Macaca fascicularis: one gene and its partner. The main gene of each other region encodes a partner of the protein of the gene in region 2 in a complex. Links are inferred from orthologs where the notes say so. Each region holds a gene or a part of one and is shown on either strand. Other genes may lie near its edges.

The links.
Region 1: the proteins of OPRK1 (region 2) and PDYN are in contact, whole or in part, in a cryo-EM structure (PDB 8F7W), measured with the Homo sapiens proteins. The link is inferred for Macaca fascicularis from reciprocal best matches to the Homo sapiens genes OPRK1 and PDYN. Residues at the interface, in NP_000903.2 of Homo sapiens: Thr111, Gln115, Trp124, Val134, Ile135, Asp138, Tyr139, Met142, Lys200, Glu209, Cys210, Asp216, Tyr219, Lys227, Val230, Phe293, Ile294, Glu297, His304, Ala308, Leu309, Tyr312, Tyr313, Ile316, Tyr320; in NP_001177821.1 of Homo sapiens: Tyr207, Gly208, Gly209, Phe210, Leu211, Arg212, Arg213, Ile214.

Annotation. Positions count from the first base shown.
Region 1 is NC_088384.1:85,203,724-85,207,669, reverse strand, and holds the start of PDYN (proenkephalin-B), read right to left. Parts: upstream 2,494-3,946; 5' UTR 1,902-2,493; coding exon of another isoform or gene 1,611-1,901; 5' UTR 796-1,610; intron 1-795. Other genes in the region: STK35 (serine/threonine-protein kinase 35), read left to right, coding at 1,611-1,901, 2,494-3,091.
Region 2 is NC_088382.1:63,228,534-63,232,551, forward strand, and holds the start of OPRK1 (kappa-type opioid receptor), read right to left. Parts: upstream 2,801-4,018; 5' UTR 2,676-2,800; intron 2,311-2,675; 5' UTR 2,263-2,310; coding exon 2,006-2,262; intron 1-2,005. UniProt on the Homo sapiens protein: G-protein coupled opioid receptor that functions as a receptor for endogenous alpha-neoendorphins and dynorphins, but has low affinity for beta-endorphins.

The DNA of each region.
Region 1 (3,946 bases), on a different chromosome or scaffold from region 2:
AAAACATCAGATGAATAAAAATTTAGGGACATTCTACAATATACCTCACCAGTACTCTTCAAAAATGTCAAGGTCATGAAAGACAAAGCAAGGCTGGATAACTAACTGCCCTTCCAGATTGAAGGAAACTAAAGAGGCATGACAATTCAGTGCAACATGTGATACTGAATTGGATCCTGGGGAATAGCTATAAAGGACATTACTGGGGCAATTAGCAAAATTTAAATATGGATGGAGTGTATTAAACAATTGTATAATTGTTAAAATTCCTGATTTCTGACCACTGTACTGAGATTATGCAAGATAATGTCTTTTTTTAAGGAAACACACAAATATTTGGGATAAAGGAGCTTGATGTTGGAAACTCTAAAACGATGTAGTAAAAATTATATGTTTTATATATGTGTGTGTGTGTGTGTGTGAGAATATCTATATACCGTATACTGATTTCCTTTCTTTTGGGGTATATACCATATAGATATCCACACACAACATGTATTTGTGTATATACACACACATACGAGAGGATATGGAAATGCAGCAAAATATAACAATTTGTTATTCTAGTGGAAAAGCATATGATCTTTACGATTCTTGAAATTTACGTGTAAATTTGAAATTTAATCATGAAAACAGAAGCTTTCAGCGACCAAATACATTATCAGAAATGGCCTGTCCCCAGTGAGCACTCTTTAGCTCATTCTTTTTCTACATCGCACTTATCACTGGCAAAAATTATCCTGTGCATTTATTTAATAATATTTAACATTGTGTGCAAGGCTGTCAGTGCTTTACCTGTATAACCTCTGTGAATCTTCTTACAGGTCAGGAACAAATACACAAGAAGATTGATTAACTTGCCCAAGGCCACCCATGTGGTTTGTCTCCTGCAGTGGCACAGAACCTCAACCAAGGCAGAAACTGCATTGTCTATTAGACTTAGAATGTCTATTAGACTTAGACTTGCTCAGCGACTTAGAATGGTGCCTAGCACATTACGGGTGTTCAATAATTATCCGTAGATTCAGTTAATAAACACTGGGCACCCACTAGGCCTACATCGGAATACAAAGTACAGAACAAAATATTCAAAAATCTGTGCCTAAATGGAGCTTTGAGTACTAAAACTCAGTCCCACACCAATTAGCGTCCATCTAGGTATTTCATTTGGGTCTATCATTCCTGAGAATTAAGGCCCATTCTTAATAGATCCTCAGAGAAACGGATGCTCAGGGTGGGTCAATGATTTGCACAAGATAACTGTCTTGGTAGAAGGGAAGGTCGGGATTCCAACTCAGTCCCTGAGGTTCCCAGGCCCGACATATGAATCAAACGACCAAGACATCACCCAATCAGTATTTATTAGACGCCTACTGCGGACGATTGGTCTTCACGCAGGTCAGGCGAGAAGGGGTGGTGATGCGCGGGCCGCTGCGGAGACCCGGAGCCCGCCGCGGATCACGGGAATTTGGCGCCTATTTTTTGTTGGCTGGGTGTTCTCGCCGGTGATTGGGTCTCGGCAAGGCGTGCCGGTGCGCTCGGCTGCGGCTGCTCCGTCGACCTTGGCAGGACCGGGCGGTGCAGGACTCACTCGGCTGGCCTCCCGGGGGATGGGCCACCAGGAGTCTCCGCTGGCCCGGGCGCCGGCGGGAGGTGCAGCTTATATAAAGAGGTTATGTAAAGGGCTCAGCTGGCGCGAACACGTGGAAAGCCACGGGAGTCTAGGAGCCTGGGCCTCCCCAGCGTGCGCCGCAGCAGCAGAAGGATCCGCTGCACGCCGGGCTCCGGCCACCTCCCGCGCTGCTCGGTCCCGGAGGCAGCCCAGGCCCGGAGCGGACCATCCCCAGGCAGGGGCTCCAGGGAGGAAACGGGCCGCCCGGAAGTGGAGGTGCGCGGGCCAGGTAAGGGCGCCGTTCGAGGACTTAAGGCCAGCGCCGAGGCTGGAGTTACTGCCACTGCCTCCGCGCTTGGGAAGGGAAATCGGGTCCTCGGCCGGTCACGCTCCGAGAAGCCGAACTTTTGAGCCAATCCCTTCTACCCGCCGCCCTCGGGGACTTGGGTCGGTCCGCTGGGCTCCGCTAGGGCTTAATTCAATGGACTGTTTACACGCGGGCGAACACAAGGCGGGGCGCGGGGAGGGGCGTCACGGAGGGGGCCAGGCAAAGAAAAAGATTTCCGCCGGCCAAATCGCGTCCTAAGGCGGCTTTCAGAAGGCGTGAAGCTTGCTGGCTCTTCTTTTTCCTATCGCTACATGACAAGCTAACAGAGAGAGCGGAGAGTTTTTGCTTTTCTTTCCGGTTCCCCCTCTGATCCGCTGCCCAGTGGTTCCGTCTTTCCCGCTTTCCCCTCCCCTCCCCCGTTCAATCAGCGGTGGTGGCTTCCGTCTTAAAGGGGCCGCGGCGGCCGGGGGAGGAGGAGGTGGGACGCCCCGCGGCCTACACTCCTGGCCTCCCCGCCTCGGCCTGGTCGTTTAACCGATTCTTTCGCCCGCAGGTCACAATCCAAGGTCCCGCTCCTCCGCGTCCCAGGGCCGGACGGAGGGATGAGGCAGGGGGGGCCCGGGCAGCGCCGTTGCTGCTCCCCCCGCCGCCCGCAGCCATGGAAACGGGGAAGGACGGCGCCCGCAGAGGTACACAAAGCCCGGAGCGGAAAAGGCGAAGCCCAGTGCCGCGGGCGCCCAGCACGAAGCTGAGGCCGGCGGCGGCGGCCCAGGCCATGGATCCGGTGGCGGCCGAGGCCCCGGGCGAGGCCTACCTGGCGCGGCGACGGCCGGAGGGCGGTGGCGGGTCCGCGCGGCCGCGCTACAGCCTGTTGGCGGAGATCGGGCGCGGCAGCTACGGCGTGGTTTATGAGGCAGTGGCCGGGCGCAGCGGGGCCCGGGTGGCGGTCAAGAAGATCCGCTGCGACGCCCCTGAGAACGTGGAGCTGGCGCTGGCTGAATTCTGGGCCCTCACCAGCCTCAAGCGGCGCCACCAGAACGTCGTGCAGTTTGAGGAGTGCGTCCTGCAGCGCAACGGGCTAGCCCAGCGCATGAGTCACGGCAACAAGAGCTCGCAGCTTTACCTGCGCCTGGTGGAGACCTCACTGAAAGGTAGGAGCACCGCGGGCCTTTCCACCCACGCAGGGCCTGGACCCCCTGCTCTCCGGACGGCTTGACCCACACTGTTCCCGGCTCTTCTAGGCCTCAGACCTGGTCCCTGTCACTCTGTGCCCAGACACACCCTCCTTTCCTGGTTCCAGGCTTTCGGCCCTCTCTCTTCTGCGGTCCCAGGATCAGCCCCGGAGCCTAAAGTTGGCTGGTATTTCCATAACAAGAGCTCGTTTAAGTGCTAACCATTAACTTAATAACTGCTCAACATTTGTGAGCTATGGTTATTAAACGTCTTCTATTTAAGATCCGTCGAGGAGTGGAGGAGGGGTTGGGTTCAGTTAGTAGCAAAGCTGCAGAGTCCCCTCACCCCCTAGGACCTCTGTTTCCCTCCCAAAACAAACAAAAAGAAAAAACTTCACTGGACCCACCCACACCCTCTCCCAGTCTTGCTTTCCCAAGTTTCCCGACACCCTCCAGCTCCAACCCCCAAACTCTTGTGGCTTCCTCGTCTGCCTTTTTTTCTGAGGCCCCCAGCCCTTCATCCCAGGCAGCCAAGCAAACTGACGGTTTTCTGGCTTGGTCCTCTGAGGCATGCAGGCTGACAGCCCTCACAGGTGGCCTTGAGAGCTGTCACATAACAAAGCATCCAACATCTTTTTCCTCCGTTTTACGTTCTTAATCTTTTTAACCTCAGAGGCTGGCTGGCAGATGGTTTTACTTAAAAGGAAAATGGGGTTCATTGAGGCAAGAGGTCTTGCAGTCCTGGAAGAACTAATTATCTTAGTTTCCGGGTTTTAACTGCAGTTAGGGAATGTGTTCATCCTAACTACCCAGTACCTACAAGCCTTTCATACC
Region 2 (4,018 bases):
CACTCCAGGATGGCAGTAGAACTCTTCGCTTTTCATTTATCATCAAATGTAACCTTTAAGTATTGAGAATGGAGTGGGAGAATGGAGAACGATGTATGCGAACTATCCAACTCCTTTTATATTTTTAGCTGAACTTATCCCCTTATAACACACTTTAGTGTTGGATATCTTTGGGAAATCTATCCATTAAAAGTCCTAGCTAATCTACAGGATTTTTTTTCCTTCTTCCATGTCAAATGTTCCCCACGGAGTTATATTTGCACATAACATCTAAATGTTATTTTAGGATTCTTCAGTCTTTTTAATTCTAGTCTGCAAAAGGTTGTAGAGCAACTACAAAGCTCTTTTCAAACTGGAGACTTCAGGGGCTCATTCAAATAACAATAATATGTATCTGTTTTACTTGAGCACCCAAATATGATATGGGTAGAAACAGAGCTAATTTGTTTTCTTAGAGCTTTCTTTTGTGTAACAATGTTTCTATTACCCCACCACCAAAAAAATGGCTTCTGTACCAAAGATCTCCTAAAAATTTTGATTAAAATTTAGAATACAGTTGTCTTTTCTTTTGTCTAATTGTCTCTTTAGTAGAGGCCAGCCCTCAGATTACTAATGACTTGGACAAACAATTTACTTTTAAAATATTCCCTCCTTTACTCATCATGGATAGAATTCCTGGGAAATGCAATAGGCAATTATGAAAACCAAGGGCACCAAGCTATAAACACTAGTTGTTGGTGAAATGAGCTTTATAATAAGTGTTTGGAGACTTAAATGATGGTTTTTAATGTCAGAGCATACATAGGAAGAAAAGACCTGACATTCTCAAGCAAACAAAACAAAACAAAACAAAAAACAAAAGATAAAGCAGTATTTTTATTATGATAATATTCCAAGGGAAAGATTTATGCTATCATTCATGATATGGTTGCTAAAGTTCATAATAAACAAAAGGCCTGTTTCAAAACTAAAATCAAGCTTAAAAAAAAAATCAGTTATTCATCCTTTCAGAGTCCCTAGCCAGGGTGACTTGCACCCCGCCCTTATTTCACAGAGACTTCTCAAAGGAACACAAGTGTCCTACTCCTTCTCACAGGTGTGTTGACAAAACTCTAGTGCTTCCAGAAAAGGAAACACATCTCTCTCAAGAAGACTGCAGAACAAAGTTAGGTTTTTCTTTTCTTGTTTTTCTTTCTTAAAGTCAGAATCACTTTGCTTACCAGAAAATTACCATATTCGTGGACATTGCGATACTTATTATTGGAAGTTGACCTAAAGAAATTTCCACACACACACAAAAAATAATAAAATAAAACCTTCAATTTCTCATGGTGGAAAAAAAAAACAGCAAAGCAGTTTTTGAAAATCTCCACAGGCCATGCTTTAGAAGATAAATATTATTTACTGATATTCCTAACAAATGGGATGACATTTGGTACTAAAAAGGCTCCTATATGCATATCAACAACGCTAGATCATATATCAGCTTTTGTTTCATAAGCCAAAACACCAGTCGGAGGAGTCACAGGAAATTCGGAATTATCTTCAGTGCATTGGGTGGGCTTGAAATTGATCTTAAGAAATATTTGCAAAGGGCATAACAAAGTGCTACGAACTGGCGCAGGCAACCAGGCAAATGGATTAACTCCTTTACCAGGAGACCCTGACCCTGTTGTCAGCACTCAGGCACCTTGCCCTGCGCATAGAGTTTTCAGCAGAAACGCTGGGCCCTAGGGTGGAGTCGGGGGAGTCACTCTGAAATCTTCCAGATGCCCCTGGACGCTCGGATTCGCCTGTGTGAACCTCTCAGCACTCCACCAAAAACTCCCAGAAAATCCTTCACCTCTTCTAGGAGGCCACCCTGTAGCACTTCCAGCATCCTTCACAGAACAGAGTTCCCATCGCCTGGCTAGCTGCCCCCACCGCCGCTACAGTGGCGGGGCCCGACCCTCACTCCCTGCCCTGCCCTGCCCAGCCCCCCGCGCCGCGCCGACCCAGCGCTCACCGGATGATCACGAACATCACCAGCGAGTTGCCCACCAAACCCACAACGAACACCACGGAGTAGACCGCCGTGATGATGACCGGGATGGCGGGGGAGATGTGCGCGGGCTCCAGCTGCGCGTCCTCCGAGCCGGCGCTGCCGTTGCTGTCGAGCTCGGCCCAGCCGGGAAACCAGGCGCTGCTGTTGGGGGGCAGGCAGGCGCTCGGGGCGCAGGTCGGGCCCGGCTCCCCGCGGAAGATCTGGACCGGGGAGTCCATGGTGGGGCGGCTGCAGCGGGAAGACGAGGACAGGCGGCACCTGCTGGGCTGCGGAAGCGAGAGAACCGGCTGGACGCGGAGAGGCAAACTTTGCCCCCGCCCTGGCTGGCGCCGCTGGGGACCCGGAGCCTGCGGACCCCCACCCTGGCCGCAAGTTGCCGGGGACAGGACAGGGAGGACAGACTTCTCGCTTCCTTCTCGGCCAGCAGGCGCGCCGCTGGGTGCCAGAGAGGGGAGAAGAGCGCTCACTCCTTCTCTCCCAGCTCCTGAGGTGCCTCCCTCACCATTTCTAGGCACCGGCCCCGGTGGAACTGTCCCCAGACTGCCTATCTGAGCCCCCAGGGTCAAGCCCCTTTCCCACCTCCCAGAACGGAGGTCTAGCTAGAACTGCGCCTCGAAAGCCCAAAGCTTACCTCTTTCCCAGAGACAGGCGAAGGCGAGGTAATTTAGGGGACGCCCTGGTAGGTGCTGAACCGCGCGCTCAAGAGTCCCACTCAGCTCTTGGCGTCACCTGCTCTCGGATCCCGGCCCCACTCTCGGCCCCAGGGCTGCTGTTCCGCTGAGCGCAGTCCCCGCCTCTCAGTGCGCGGCTCCCACTACTGGCGGCGGCTCCGCTGGGCGGGGCGGGGCGGGACGCAGCCGGGACGCGGCTGGGCGCTGGGGACCCGCGGGCAGAGAGCTCGGCTGGTGCGCCCGCCCCAGGCCAGCTGGTCCTTGCCCGGCCCCGCCCGCCCGGAGTCAGCCCCCAACTCCCCAGCCTCTCAGCCCCGCGTCCCCTCCAGCCCCGAAGGCTCGCCCGGCCCACTAACTGCCCGAGCGGCACACAAGCTAGACCCCGGCCATGCAGCCTTCCCGGAGACCTGAGACTGAGCCCTTTAGATTTAGTGAAAAGGAGGGGCGTGCCTATTTTGTGCAAGTATGCACCTGGATTTTTATATTGTGTCTAGAACTTCTTATCTGCGTAGTTCGCAGTCAGGAACGACTCTTATTAGAATGACCCATCCAAAGAAAGTAGCAAAATGATCCAGTTAGAATAAGACCAGTTCATAAAATAATGACTTAAAAGACACATAAATAGAATATTTCCTTGTGTTCTCTTCCATTCCGTCTGCTGTAACTGGGATGACAGGCTGCAGACAAACTGCACCTTCCGGGTATTACCTGACTCCTGATAGTATCTGAGAAGGGCAAAACACTCTCCTTACCCGGGCCTCAGTGGTGCTCTAAGGAGGTGAAAATGTCTCTGTTTTACATTTATCCCTGCAGCCATCATGTTCTCCTCACTTCTCCCTCACAGTAGCACCGCCTCCATCATACGGCCGGCCGCGAATCTGAGCGTCCATAAATAAACTGTCACCATCATTTCTTTGCATAACTCTGCTAGTCCAAGGATCGCTGTCAGATTCTGCTGGAGTAGAGACATTCTCTTCTCAGGCAAAGGGACCGGCAAGACCCAAGGGGAGCAAGGGCTCAGCCCCTAAAATTAAGGTTCTGAAAGGAAGTGGGGAAGTTCCCCTTCTGCGTAGGGTACTGGAGGCAGGCCTGGGGGAGACTGAGGGTTTAGGCACCTCAGTTTTCCCAGTGGATTCACTGCCTCAGGCTGACAAACACAGGTCCCCACTGCATCCCACAGGTAATGTCCATGCCACAACTGGGCACACTAATGGCTGATACAACCCTTCCCTCCATCAGCTGAGGGCAGAAGGGAGCTCCTGTCTCTTGCAAGACGCCATGATCCCAAAGTGGGATTTGACCA